2 linked regions of the Tamandua tetradactyla genome follow. Each later gene encodes a partner of the first gene's protein in a complex. Links are inferred from orthologs where the notes say so. Each region holds a gene or a part of one and is shown on either strand. Other genes may lie near its edges. The genes, in order: SPTLC2 and ORMDL3.

Region 1 (7,077 bases):
AAAATTTCTATAAAGAATGAAAGGTTTTTGTTAAAGTGCTGTTAATAAGGAATTTGAAAAACAAACAATAGCATTATATTTTAGGGGCAACCAAAACGTCATATTTATTTAATCAAATGCTAAATCCACAGAAAGAAATAAAGGGACTAAATTATATAAATCCCGGAAGGTTTCTTCCAGCTCTAAATCTGCCAAAGTTACCCAAAGGTTAATTGCCACCCTCTCCCTTACATAAGGATTGACCTTCTTCCCACCCATCTGAATGACAGGGAGGAAAAATTACTGTATTGTTTAACTGCTACTCTTCCTTGAGAAAACTCTGTGTCTACTGTCATCATTAACCAATAACGCCTGATGGTTTCATACCTCGTCCAACCACAGAATCTATTTAATAAAACTATAAATCCAAACTCAACAGAGTAGCTCTTTAAACATATCCATTTATCCTTTCAAATTCAGAAACAGACTTAAGAGTGTGATGGGATCCTAACAAGTTTTCTAGTCTAACTGATCTCCTGTTCATCAAAAGACAAATGTTGGGATATGTCAAGAAATGAATTTATATCTTGGTTTAAAAACTATGCTATAATATAAATTTATATCTTAGTGAAAGCATGACACATATCTGTGTGCCTAACATCTATCTCATATATATTCTTTATGGCATAATTGGCAAGGGAAGATAGTAATTAAAACAAAATTAATATAAACAAACAAAAAAATTTAATTCTATACTGCTTTCAAGTTACCAAGATCTGCTCTTTTGCTTAAAAAAAAAAGAAAGGAAAAAATGTCATAGACAATATTCCTCTATATTAGTGCACAAAGCCACAGACCTAGTCTTTGTTTAACAAAGACTTGAGAAGTAGTTTTCTAAAAAGAATACTGCAACCCTAAACATTCCTCAGGGCATTCCACTTGACCATTCTTGCAAATGCCACCAATGTTATTAGTTGGCAGCCTCTGAAAAAAGAGCATGCCTATAAATACTAAACTGTTAGTGATTATAGGCGAGAGGCATTTGACTTACAACTAAATCAGAAGATAACTTACATAAAATGAAAAGAACACTTACACACAAAGCACCCCTAAAATGTGAACACTATTCTCTCGATTTCCTTTTATTTCTTAGCAATCTTATTCCACTTACTCATTTGCAATTATTTTCTAATTCCTATCCATTAAATTTCCCTACTATATTCTATTCCACACCTCTGACCTATATAGTCAGCCACTTACGTTGCTAGGAAAACAAAACTATCTTCCACCATTTATAATGAGCTGATTCTTACCAACTCCTCTCACGCAATTATTTTTTAAGAAATGAAAACAAATCTTTTGTTCTATTATTTTGCCTTGCACCCTACAACCTCAGGGGCGGTCAGGTATTTTTTCGTGTGTGTATTTTTCTCCCCACTTCTCAGGTCTCAATGTCTCAGTATGATCTGAAGAAAGGCTTTGTTTTTTCTTTCTTATCAACAGTAACAGGCCTATCTACTATACACTAACTGTGGGAGAAGACTGCATATATTTAGTTAAAGGTAAATTAAAATCACCTGTCAAAAACTGCAACTGTCACAATTTCTGCAAAGGAGAACTGATTACTGTTTTATATTTTTCTAAACCTCTGAATGAGACATAAGTATTAAAAGTCAATTGCAAAATGACCACAACGTTCTCTTCCAACAACACACTGCTCTTCCATCTTTTTAACTAGGCTCATCTTCAAAAAATACCTCTCAGCAGAATACCTGTCAGCACAGAGAATTGGAAGATTGACATACTGCTCTCTTGAATTCCGAACTTTCCAAAATATTTTAGAACTGCCTGAGCTGGGTGGTGATTCATTCAGTCTTGGTTAATTAGCATAGAGACTCATCACAAGTCACTAAGGTTAAACAATTCCCTTGCTAAAAGGGTCCTAGGGACCACGAAACTCAAAGTCTCTCCTGCAGACGGTATAGGGTCTCCCCATCTGCAACGTAAAAAGATATAATGCTTTGGAGGCAGAGGACCGAGATATAGTGCCAGATCTAAGATCCAACGTCTAGCATGTGGAGATCTAAAACGTGGTAGGAGGAAGCGAGGCATTTCCGCCTCGTACCACCTCCTAACTTTCTCTGCCTCTTTAGGACCCCAAGGGTGGTTTTCCTTGGACACCTTCAGGACTCCAAGGGGAAGCAACCACAAAGGTGAGAGCAAGGAGCCTCGGGACAAAGAACCGAGAGCCTTGAGCGGATCCCATAGGGGTCCGAGGGGCCACTCACTGCCTCCCCTGGGAGGCGGCCCGCAGCTCTAGTCGGGTCAAGTCTAAAAACGGACTCGGGACTCTTGAGCAGATCCCAAACCTCGGGAGCAAAGGGAGGGAGACGGTCAGGCACGCAGAAATCGGAAAGTCTCCAAGCCGCCCTTGAGCCAGCACACCTGAGCCGCGCCCAGTGCCGATCCCCGCAGGCGGTCACCGCGACGTCGCCCGCCCGGCCGCCCCTCCGCCCGCTCCGCGAGGCCCCCAGCTCGCCGCATCCCGGCCCACCGCTCTCCCGCCCAGTCCCGCCCAGTCCCGCCCGGCCGCGCGGTCCCACCGTACCGGGCCGGAAGCGGCTGCGACGGCTGCGGCGCTGCTCCTCACGTAGCCGTTCCGCACTTCTCCGTTCGCCAGGCAGCCGTTCGCCCGCAGCGGGCGGCGGCAGCAGCAGCCTCCTGGCCCCGGCCGCATCGTCCCGGCAGCACCAGGAGCAAGGCAGACTGTGGAGACGGCTTTGGCCGGGGTGACGGCGACGGCTCCTAGCCCCGCTCGGCACCCCACCCACCTCCCCGAAACCGGAAATGGCTGCCGCGCCGCCGCCAATTCCAGGCCGGACCGTCACATCGGGGTGGGGCCCACTCCCGCGGAGGACGCGGCTCGCCCAAGGCTCCGCAGCAAAGGGGGAACCGGGATGGGGACGCACTAAACGGGGAAGTGGGCCTAGGCGCTGCTGGCCAATCTGGACGAGAAGGAGGCGTACCCCTGTGGCCGCCTGGCCAATCACCGGCGAGAGTGAAGCGACTCGCCGGGGTCGACGGGGGCTTCTCTGGAGGGACTGAGGACCTGGCACCTGATTGGAGGCCCTTGCCGGGTCGGGAGTTTAGGCTTGGCTGTTTAATGGTCCAGGCTGGGGGAAGGAGGCGGGGTTCAGGAAGAAGTAGCCGTATAGAGTAGGAGGGAAAAAGGAGGTTGAGCCTAAATCTCGAGAGGATTCCTTGGTTCTCCTAGATTGATGGCACCCTTGCTGCAATTTAGTACCTCCCCAACCCCCCGGGAACTTCTCGAGTTTGCTTCTCAACCCAAGACAGGCAGCTCCTTCATTTAATTAGCTAATTCCTCTGTGGGTCTTAATAGAACAGCCTTTTTTTGGCATTCTCTTATTCTTAAATATGCACTACACATTCCTTAGATAAATTAACACGTTTAAGTAGCCATTTTAGATATCTCTTTGCCCTTCACGGTTATTCCTGTCAGGGTTTTCTATACGATCTCCTCTCAACAGCACCTCCCTGAAAGTCAGAAAACCTGGTCTAGTTCCAACTTTGCCAATAACTGGAAGCTAAACTTGAATATTTACATTGGGAGCCAGTTTCTTCATGTGTAAAGTGGAATTAATGCTTCTTGCTTCACAGAGTCATTGAGAGAATCATGTTAATAATGTTTTGTGCACCTATAATAATGCCTGGCCCATTACAAGGAGCCCAATAAATATTATTTTCTCAGTCCTTTATTTCTACCTTCTCATGGGAATTAGAAAGAAAGGAAATGGGTCTATATTACTTTCAGTTACCTGTCAGGAATATAGTATCATAGTTAAGAGTTTGTACTTTAGAGTCAGATAGTCCGGTTTAAGTCAGACTCAGCTTACCAGCTGAGTGACCTCTAAGTGTTTTCATTTGTTAAATGAGGATAATAATAGTTGTTGTGAAGATTAAGTGAGTTAATATATGTAGTATATTTTATAAGGATTTGGCGATTACTAAGTATTCATTAAGTGTTAGTTATTGGTAGTTGTTGAGTGTGCCTATGAGAGCCTCTGCCTTGTCACCTGGGGAGCTTTAGAAAGGAGGTTGACAAGGTGTTAATTTTGCATGATTTAGTAGTAGAACAATCTAACAGCAGGTAGATAGAAAAGATAACCTCTTTGAGTCAATAAACGCTGTGATCCCCAAATGTACTTAGGTCGGTTATAGATGGATGAGGCTACAAAAGGAATAGGAGTTGGCCCTCGTGGCATTTACATTCTAGTGAGAGACAAGATGTACAGATATAAAGTAAACAATAATAAGAGGTCAACAGAATGTTGGAGAGGTTGGGGGCAGGAGATCCGTTGAGGTAGGCAGTGATAAAGTTAGACTTTCTAAATACATTGCAGAAATCTGGTTGGAAGCAGGACTAAGGAAGTTGACCTGAAGCTTAAATAGTGTGCTGAATGGATTGGAGTAGGCAGAAGGCTTGGGAGTAAAATGTGGAATGGGCTTGATCTTGGAGGATGAACAGAATTTGGAGAACTGAAAATGAGAAGGGTATTCCAGGGGAAAGAATCTTCAGAAGCTAAAATGCAAAGGCAGAAAGGAACAAAGCCTGAAACTGGAGCCCAAGAACAAAGGAGTCAGAAAAAGAAAAAAAAAAAGAATAAAGGAGCCAGGCTAAATTAGAGGAATCCTATTAGCCAGTCCCTCCCTCCTGAGGGCAGGACACCACCTTCTTGTCTTGTTCTGCCACTTACTCACCATATGTGGTCTTAGCCAAATCATGCAATCTCTCAGCCTTGGTTTCCTCACCCGTCTTACAAAGTCAATACCTGTATTACTTACCTTGCAGGACTTTTGTGAACTTGAATGATATAATGCACAAATGATCTGATCACTCCTATTTCATTGCTAAATCGCAAAGAAGATGCCTCAGAAGGCTGTAGGAAACACCTTAAGCTCCATGTAAGCAGGAAAATAACTCCTTACTGATGCATAAGCCACTTTATCATTCCACTGAGTTCATATGCAAAGTTCTATGCTAAATACTGAGGAGACACCTCTTCCTTTCCTTCAAGATTGCTCAAACCACCTCAACCCTGAAGCATTTCTTGAACTCCAGCCTCCCCATAAAATTATTCCCTTTCTACTTAGTGAACTTTATACACACCTGTGTGAGCATTGCTTTGGAATTCTTTATCTTGAAAGGCAGTAGTTAGAGGCAAAAGCTCTGTTGTCAGACAAATAGGATTAGAGACCCAGCTCCAGCACTTAGAAGCCTTATGACTTAGGGAAAGTTGCCTAAACCCTCTGTGCCTCAGTTCCTTCATCTATAAAATGAGACTTCCCTCATAGAATTGTCGTGGGCATTAAATAAGAAAAATATTTAGTACTAGGGCCTGTCCCATTGTACTCAAAAAGTACAGGCTACAACACTGAGCAAAAGAAGTCAGGCAGAAAAGAATTTGATTTCGTCTATTTGACAAAACTATTCTACAAGGGTAGAAATCGTATCAGTGGTTGTCTTAGGGAGGGGGGAAGGGGAGAGTACTGAATACAAAAAGGCAAAAGGAAGCATTCTGAAGTGATAAAAGTGTTCTACATCTTAATTGGGGTGTTGGTTAAATGGGTGTATACTTATGTCAAAACTTAAATTCTACACTTAAAATGTGTGCATATGACTGTTTGCAAATTAAACAGCAGTAATGTTGATTTCAAAATAAAATTATATAATAGCCTGATTTTAAAAAATGTCCTGGCTGTAATGAATCTAATGGTGGATGATGTCTATGATTAACTGTACAAATATTTTAAAGTTCTTTCAAGAACTACAACAAATGTATGACACTATTACAAGGAGTTTATAATAGAGAGTTATATGGGGGTAAAATGTATCTATTGCAAAGTATGGACTATAATTAACAGTAATATATATATTTTTTCTTTGTATGCTGTATGGTGGGGGGTCATATTTCATTCTTTTTCCGTGTAAGTATCCTCTTCTTGCAGCACCATTTGTTGAAGATTTGTTTTGTTTGTTTTTTCATTTGTTTGTTTGCTTGTTTGTTTGGGAAGTGCATGGGCCAGGGAATCGAGCCTGGTCTCCTGCATGGCAGGCAACAATTCTACCACTGAACTACCCTCGAACCCCCAACAGTAATATTTTAATATTCTTAATCAACAGTAACAAAATACCACATCAATACTATGGGTCAATAATAGGGGGGATAAAGGGTATGGGAGGGTTTGGGTTTTCTTTTTTTCTTCTTACTTATTTTCTGGAGTAATGAAAATGTTCTAAAGTTGATCATGGAGTTGTACGACGTGATGATACTGTGTCAGTGATTGTATATTTTGGATGGTTTGTACGGTGTGTGAATGTATCTCAATAAAATTGCATTTTAAAGAAGTATTGGCTATAGGGCGCATGGGTGGTTCAGTGGTAGAATGCTCGCCTTCCATGCGGGAGACCTGGGTTCGATTCCCGGACCATGCGCCACCCCCCCCCCCCACCCCCCAAAAAAAGAGTATTGGCTATTCTCTCTGTTGCATGAAAGGCAACATGATATTTGTGGCCACTTAATTTAGAGACTCAGATTCACAGACAACACAGACTTCAGTGATATAAAACAGGATTTATTAGGAAAGCAATTAAAAGATTGTTAGAAATTAGACATAGTTGCATCACCAGGTGGAATAGCACCAACAACACCTGAAGAGGAGTGCTGGGGAATCCTGGAGACAGCATTTTCAGGGACCAACTGGAAAAGTCCCATGCAAAGCATCCTCCTCTCCTCTCAGTTAAGATTCTCTCTCTTTTTTTCTGTCCTCTCCTCTTCTGATATTCTAAAGTCTAACTGCTTACATGCAGTTTAAATAATATTTTTTACAATAGTGGCCAGATACCAATTAGCTTATGTAACTGGGCCCAGGTGGTCCTCTGGGAATTGGCTAGGGACAGAGAAGAGTTTCCTGGGACCTAGATAGCACGTTATCAGAGTACGTTTCCTTCTGGGAGGATAGCCAGTCCTCCCAGCTGGAGTGCACATTTCAACAATTTATCAACAAGGTCACGCAGTG
Region 2 (7,685 bases), on another chromosome or scaffold:
CAGAAGGAAATACAATAAAATGTATAATGAATGGGAAAAAAAACCTGGCTGACTCTACGCTCCCACAGGTAGCTGGAATCCATAGCAACACCCTCCTCCCAAGAACACAAAGCCCTACCTCCAGCCTCCCTCCTGCCCTTCTCTGCCCCGCCTATCCTCACCTCAGCCTTCTTTCCAAACTAGGACCTACTTCCAGGTGTAAGTTAACACCATATCTCCACCTTCCCAACTCCAACGGTAGAAGCTATGCAGCGGGAGGAACCAGGAGGGCTGCCCTTCATGCCCAAGAAACAATGGTGGCAACAACCCAGAGTGGGTTAAGTGACGTGGAGAAGGCAGGGAGGGGAATGAGCAGTCCCTTGTCCAGAGCTTGGCTCTTCCCAGATCCCTGAGGGTCCTGGACTAGCTGGAGATGGGAACAGATGGTGCCTGTGTACTGACTCACCTTCCTGCTCAAGGGAATGTCCTGCCTCACGAAGACCATAAGGTCCTCACCAATCTTTCCTGGAGATGCAGAAAGGGACCCCAAATGCAGCTATTCTGGGAGTGCCCAGAAGGCCACCTTTTTCACTCCACTGCAAACAACCCTCTCAGATCATCTGCAGTCTCCCTCTGGCCAGGATCCCAAGCGGGTCTGCACAAGAGCCAGAATTCCCAAGGGTCCCTTCTCTATTTCCAGGATAATGGGAGCAAGTTTCTTTTTCTCATTCAGCTCCAAGCTTAGAGCTCTCAGGGAAAACGTGCCTTATAACTTATCTTCCCAGCATACAAACATAAGGGCTGGCCCAAGGTGACAAGTGAAAGAAGCGATGCTCCTGGGGCTCATCAGCCTAGCCCATTAGGCTGGATAATTGGGCCTATCAGAAGCCTAAGGAAGTAGAAAACCAGAGCCAGCTCGGCTGTTTACCTTCCTAGGGCCTTGGGGCTTCAGTTACCCTAACACAGCCCCTGGGATACCTACTACTAGATAAAAGCCTCGGTGTGTGTGTGTGCGGAGGCTGTGAAGTGAGAGTTTGAAGGACTTATTACTAACTGAAGGGAAAAGTTCCCCAAGTCTGACCAAAACTGCTGCTCTCCCGACACCTCCCCTCCTTCTCTCTACCCAGACTACCGCACCCAGGTGTGGGGTGGTATAGAAAGACCTCTAGTTTTCCCTAGTATTTTGTCCAAAAGTGCCAAGACCCTAGTTGAATCCTAGATCACAAGACCCAACACCCCCTTCTGGCTGGCACAGGTCTTGTCATCCAGCCTGAATGGTGTAGGAGGGGCCTAGACCCCATGTCCTAGCTAACTGCTCTGGGAAGCTTCTTCCTGACACTGAACACTAGGTGCACTGAGAGGAGAAAAACCCAGGAACACCTCCTTGCCCCCTGCCCCCCAAAAGACAAAGGCAGAAGAAATCCATAAACCAAAAAAAAAGACTGACAGCCAGGAAGCACCCTTGTGAGTAAAGGTAAATATCACTTCCATTAGTAAAATAATCAGTTGACCCCTCTCCCTGAAGGGAAGAAACGTGGAGAAGAGGCCAGCAGAGGTACAATCAACAGCAGACCAGCCTGAAAAGTTCTACTTCCACAGCTGGCAGGTGGCTGCCTGCACCAGCCCCTGATGTGGTTTCAAAACCTGCCCCAAACCAGTGCCTGCAGCAACTCTGTTCTGTTAACCACTTTCTTGCTAGCAGTTTTTTCCCACTCCTCCTCCTCCCTCCCCTACCCACTGGCACCCCACACTGCTATCCTGGCTCTGCCAGTCTGTCAGACAACTAAGTCAAGGCCAGAGTATGCCCCAGGGCAGCAGCCAGGTGAGCGCTTTCCATCCCCTTCCCCAGGTAAGGGCAGCCCTTTACGCAAACCTTTTGCTTTCTGGGTTCAGGGTACAAAAATCCAGGTCTGCACCCCAACGGAGAGTCCCCGGCAGCACTCCACAACGCCATTTCCATTCCGCCCACCTTCCAAACCCAGAAAAGGCTGCAGTTCCTCACCTCTCAGCTCCGGCTGGGCCTCCGGGACTCCGCCGTGGGAGAAGAAAGACCGCGAGTACCGAAGCAAACCCCCAAGAGCCCAGAAAGAGGGAGGAGCGAGGAGGCGGAGTTCTCACTATTGTTGTGGGGCTTTCTGAATGGGACCTCCGGCCGCCGGAGGAGCCTCCCACTCCGCTCCCCAGCCCGGGACCTAGCACTGGAAGCCTGGCCCGTTCCAGGGCCCCACCCCCATCTCCACGCGTACACCAAGCCTTGGAAGCGGCCAAACCTTTATCCCCAAAGCCAAGCCGCTCCCCGCCCCCCACTCCCAGCTACAGCGCCCCTCCCGGTCGTCCGAACCCCGACCTCCCGCCCCCACGTCCCTCTTTGGGCGCCCCTTAGGCTGATGCACCCCATTCTCACGCTGTCCAGGTCTCCTCCAGCCCGGGACGCCTCCCCGGCAGCCCCCACTCCTCTCCGGACCCCCTGCCTCTACTGCCAAAGACCCTCCGGCCCCTCCATCCCGGAGGCCGCCCGTCCAGACTCACCTTGCGAAACCAGAGGTCGAGGGCCCAGGACGGGTACCCGGGGGCTGCGGGACGGGGCAAGCGCCGGGACCGCTGCTGCCCCAGCCCTGTAACAACCCGCAGGGGCAGCCTCCCCGCTGGCAGCCCGGGCCGAATCAGCGCCCCGTGCCGGCCCCCGTGACGTCACCGCCCCGCGCCAGATTGCCCGGTGCCTCCTGGGAGTTGTAGTTTCTCCCCCGCCCCTCTCGCGGACCTGCCCGAAGGCTCCTGGGAGTTGTAGTTTTTTCCCGCTGCTCCTGTCGCGACCTCGCTGGAATCGCAGAACCGAATGCCTCACCCGGATGTGATAATAAAATGGTATGACTTTGGCGCATAAAAATCCCTGCTTTCTCGTCCTCGTCCACCAACTGCGGCTTACCGTCACTTCGGTTTTGCACGTGAGGAAACTTGGAGTCTTAAGTAACTTGCTGAAATTTCCCGCTGAGCCCCTGGACCAGAGCCTAGGATTCTGACCCCAAGGAAAGGCTTTTTCCACTACATCTCTCCGCCCCCGCCCTAATCCCAGATTGGCTCTTCCAAAAAGCGCACGAGGTCGGCCCCTGGGCTCGCTGGGCTCTCCTGGGAGCGAGTCCTTACAATGTTGGCTGGGGTGAGAGACTGGAGGGTGGAGTAGGTGGCCCAGAGACAGCATTGATTCAGAACGTCCTGTCCAGCCCACATGCTCGGCCTTCACCCCGCCCCCGGCAGGCTGCAGAGAAGAAGGCCATGTGTCATGGAAATACTCCTTAATGGAGAGTTAGGTGACTGAATTCCTCTCCCAGGTCAATGTGTGGGAGGCTCCATCTCTCTTGTGTACAGTTTTCGTTTCTGTACGCCCCGAAAGGGAAAGCACCAGATTTACTGCCAGGTTGAGGTAGTGTAGGCACTTCTGTACCAGCAGCGGGACCCTGGACAGATTATTTCATTTGTCTTAATCTCACCAATTCCGCACCTGTGAAATCGTTCCTTCAGCATTTGTGTGAATTCAAAAGAATGTATTCTAAAACACCTGTTGCATTGTAGGAAGCTATTTCTGTAGGAGGTTCAACTTTTGAGGACTCCTAACTCATTTCCACTTTCCAGGTCCCCAAAAGGGCCTTCTCTGGGTAGTTTCCACTCCCCCACATAGCTTCTCTTTAAAGCCACTGTATGTGTGGCAGGGCTGGAATAGGGGATCAAACCACAGCATGATGTACCAATCTGACTGACTGCAAACACATCCTAAAATGACAACGAGGGGACAGGAGGAAAGCACTGGCCCAGGAAACTTGGGGAGCACTTTCCTCTGCCTACTTCCCAACCCATCCCAGGGGACTGTTAGGAAGCAGTTGTCACAAGGTGTCACAAGGTGGGACCCCCAGAGGCACCTGGGCAAGTGAATATTTGAACCAACCAGAGCAAGAGAACATGTGGTTCCTCGAATATTTGCATGCCCAGTGGCCCAAGAGCTTCAATCCCAAAATCTAGATAATCACCCCAGAGTCTGAACAAGTTCTTCCTGTGTCTTAGAGAAGTGTTTCCTGCTTTGTGAAGGCTCCTTTCCTTAGACCCAACCTTCTGCAGCCATAAGGAAACGACTAAGTGTTTTCACAAAACCATCCATAGAGGCAAACAAAAGAAAAAGAAAGAAAGAAAAAGAAAACCTCTTCCTTTTTTCTCAAAAGGAGCCCATTTAGGGTGGGCCACGGTGGCTCAGCAGGCAAGAATGCTCGCCTGCCATGCCAGAGAACCCGGGTTCGATTTACGGTGCCTGTCCATGTAAAAAAAAAAAAGCCCATTTGATTCCTTTGATTTACTCTGAGATTCTTCCATTGTCCTTCGACTTGCTCAAACTCTCTGGATCCTTGCTACTTTCCTCACACTGGATCCACATCTCGGGTAAGGTTGTGACTGATAGAGACTCTAACGGAGAGATTACTAGCCGTGCCATGTAAACTGTGGATTTGTGGTGAACTGAGGATTGCTTTCTACTTTATTTAGCCCGAGTCCCTGTCATCATATTTCTCCTCTAGCTCTCTGCCCTCATAATTATCCCATTTTCACCAAACATCCTTTGGCCACAAATGGCCCTGGCGCCGTTCAGAGTGCACAGCTCTCACGAGGTACCGAGGGACATGCAACCCCCCTGGACAAGCAAGTAGCAATATGTGCCACGTGGCTGGAAGGGCAATCAGGTAATTACGCTTCTGGTAGCATATTCTCAGGAAATCCTCCCGTGTACAAGAAAAGCTACACTGTGTGGTGATGTTCATTAGGCATTATTCCTGTTAGTGGAAACCTAAAAGCAACCTAAATGCCCAAGAAAAAAATTATGATATCCATTGGAGGGAATGATATGCAGCCATTTAATAAATGGTTGTGAAATCTATGTAGCAGTATGGGAAAATGTTTGCTAAGTTATATGAAAAGATCAGGATGCAGAATAACAGAAGCATCTCCCAGGGATGCAGTTAGCAAAATCCTGCATGAAGGGAACAGGGCTGTTCAAGAGAAATTGGAAGAAGAAAAGGAAGAGAAGAGACTTACAGATGTAAAATTAATATATCAGCCAAAAGCCTTATTTGGACCCTGATTTGAACAAACCAACTTAACAACAAAAAAAGATTTTATTGAATTATCAGGGAAATTCAAATACTGACTAAATATTTTATTGCATTAAGGAATTATAAATGTTAAGGCATGATATGGTAGTGTGGTAATATTTTTAATAAAAATCCTGTGTAGAGATATATGCCAAATATTTGTAGGCAAAATGATACTATGACTAAATTTTCTTCAAAATAATCTGGGCGTAGAAGAAAAGAAACACTACTGGCCATGAAGTGATAACTTTTGAACCTGGGTAATGGGAACAAAAGGTTCCTTGTATTATATCTACTTTTTTGATGTTTGGAATTGTCCACAATAAAAAAAAGTTTGTAAAAACCTGTATATATACTACATTTAAGATAAGCAAAAATAGAGTCTTGCCAAATGTTAATAGAGGAAACTATGTAGGATGGGAGTGGGTGGGGGGATATGAGAACTGTACATTCTACCTGGTTTTTCTGTAAACCTACAACTAACTAAATAAACAAAGAAACAAAATGGGGGTCTCTTTTATTAAATCATTCCACAAATATTTGAGCATCTACTTTACTAGGCTATGGAAAGTCAACAAAACAGAAACAGACCTTGTGTTAGGATAGAGGGATCAGGGGTGATCTTTTTCATTCTCTAGTTTCAAACTTTGTGTAATGTGATATTATTAGTATTACTTTTTTTTTTTTTAACATGGGCAGGCACCGGGAATCGAACCCGGGTCCTCTGGCATTACAGGCAAGCCTTCCTGCCTGCTGAGCCATTGTGGCCTACACAGTTTTACATTTTTTTATGAAATGTGTTTTAAAAGCAGTAAAGGCGGGCCAAGATGGCTCAGCAGGCAGAGTTCTTGCCTACCATGCCGGAGACCCCGGTTCGATTCCCAGTGCCTGTCCATGCAAAAAAATAAATAAATAACAAAACAGAGTGAGCTGCCCTCACAGCTTTTCCCTGCGCTCTGGGAGCTCCAGGTCTGCAATCTTGGGAGAACTTCACATTCCCCAGCCTTGGGGTGTTACCACTTGGCGGGGTGGGACGGCTTCTGCCTGCGACAGATACACCGGCCTGAGCTGAGATAGCAAACAGAGGGCACGGTAATAAACAGAGAGCAGATTCCGGGGCAGTGGGGAGGGAGGTGGGGCGTCAAGAAGCAGAGCCCCTTCCCCCGACCCTGGGAAAGAGAAGGATACCCCTTCACTCCTAGCCTGCTCTGACCTACCCCCTTCCTGAAGGGGTTGATGTCACACCCAGAGCAAGTGCAAGGAAGGAAAGAGCTATTTATTTAATTGGCAGTTGGGTTTCTGTTTTTGTTTGGGGGCGGGGGTGGTGGTGGTAGGGGAGCACCCTGGGGCACGTGAGGGGCGGGTGCTAAGCAGACAAAGGAGCACTGAGGGAACTTCCTGAATGCTGCAGAGCAGCTTAGAAGCAAGGAGGGTGTGCAGGGACTGGCCACGTCGCAGGTCAGTGCCCTGCCTGGCCTCTCTCTGCGGGTCCCTGTGGTTGGTTATTTTGGGGCTGTGGAAAGAAAGGGCAGTACTGGCCAGGGCCTCTGCAGCCAGAGCCGAAGCCTGGGAAGGAGACCTCCCTCTGGGACTCACGGGCAATGCAGAACTTGAAGAACCACTCAATCTGCTTATTTTTTTGGTGTGGACAATTGGCATTTCTCCCATGACCAAAAGCAGTTTAGAAAATGACGAATGTTACGGATCAAAAGAGCAATGGGTATTAAAAAGTATGCTTGCTGCATTGACAGTTTCAAAACAGGACCCCCAGCACCCTTTCAATTGCATCTGTACCCCTAGTAGGCTGCACCTATTTAGAAATTCTGGGTGGCCCTTGCCCCTTATCTCCTTCTTCCCCTGCCTAACACCTATATGTCCTTCAGAAACAATCACAACTGATGTTATTAGGTGTTGGCTGTGTTTCAGGCACTGGGCCTGTATAAACTCTTTTACTCCAAAACAGCGCTGTGAAGTACTTTTGTTATTCCCGTTTCATAAGTGAGAAAACTGCAGCACAATGAGTTTAGATGTTTTGCTAAAGGTCACAAGTCTAGGAAGTGGCATTTCTCCCAAAAGCCATTCCTGCCCACCCCACTGGCCCTCCTGTTCCAAGAGGTTTGTTAACACCTCTGTCACTGCATTGAAGATGCTATATCTGTTCACTATCTCCTCCCCCATCTAGGGCTGTTTACTCCATGTCTTACTCTTATTTGCATTTCCTGCAAATACCGGATTCTTAGTAAATATTAGCTGAAGTACATAACTGAACCACACTTCCCCATCTATAGCCACACTGATTCATGAAACATACCTTACCCTCTCTTGCTCTTATCTTGGCCTACAATACTTGTCCGCCTCTCCTTTTCCATCTGGTATACCCCATTCATCCCTAAGGCCAAGTTCATCTGTTACCTTCTCTGTAATGCGTTCCCAGCTGTCCAAGCAGAGTCCCTTGCTTCATCCTCTAAGCTCCTCTGCCCCCTGCAAATGGCTTGGACAGAGCCCACCCCTAGGCTACCAAGTGACTGTATTTGTACATAAGCCTGTCCTCCCATCTTGGCTGGGGATTTTTTACTT

The links.
Region 2: the proteins of SPTLC2 (region 1) and ORMDL3 are in contact, whole or in part, in a cryo-EM structure (PDB 7K0O), measured with the Homo sapiens proteins. The link is inferred for Tamandua tetradactyla from reciprocal best matches to the Homo sapiens genes SPTLC2 and ORMDL3. Residues at the interface, in NP_004854.1 of Homo sapiens: Glu65, Thr66, Pro67, Met68, Ala71, Val72, Tyr75, Tyr86, Gln116, Phe118, Glu119, Asn120, Phe121, Tyr122, Tyr127, Trp134, Asp259, Glu260, Leu261, Asn262, Val267, Arg271, Ile279, Met320, Val495, Val496, Gly497, Phe498, Pro499, Ala500; in NP_001307730.1 of Homo sapiens: Met1, Asn2, Val3, Gly4, Thr5, Ala6, His7, Ser8, Pro12, Val16, Ser19, Arg20, Gly21, Ile22, Leu24, Ser25, Leu28, Phe63, Val67, Lys68, Gly69, Thr70, Pro71, Phe72, Glu73, Pro75, Gln77, Arg81.

The regions. Positions count from the first base shown.
Region 1 is NC_135338.1:36,978,904-36,985,980, forward strand, and holds the start of SPTLC2 (serine palmitoyltransferase 2), read right to left. Parts: upstream 3,018-7,077; 5' UTR 2,717-3,017; coding exon 2,588-2,716; intron 1-2,587. UniProt on the Homo sapiens protein: Component of the serine palmitoyltransferase multisubunit enzyme (SPT) that catalyzes the initial and rate-limiting step in sphingolipid biosynthesis by condensing L-serine and activated acyl-CoA (most commonly palmitoyl-CoA) to form long-chain bases.
Region 2 is NC_135332.1:27,330,448-27,338,132, reverse strand, and holds the start of ORMDL3 (ORM1-like protein 3), read right to left. Parts: upstream 3,034-7,685; 5' UTR 2,906-3,033; intron 2,659-2,905; exon of another isoform or gene 2,509-2,658; intron 2,090-2,508; exon of another isoform or gene 1,982-2,089; intron 1-1,981. UniProt on the Homo sapiens protein: Plays an essential role in the homeostatic regulation of sphingolipid de novo biosynthesis by modulating the activity of the serine palmitoyltransferase (SPT) in response to ceramide levels.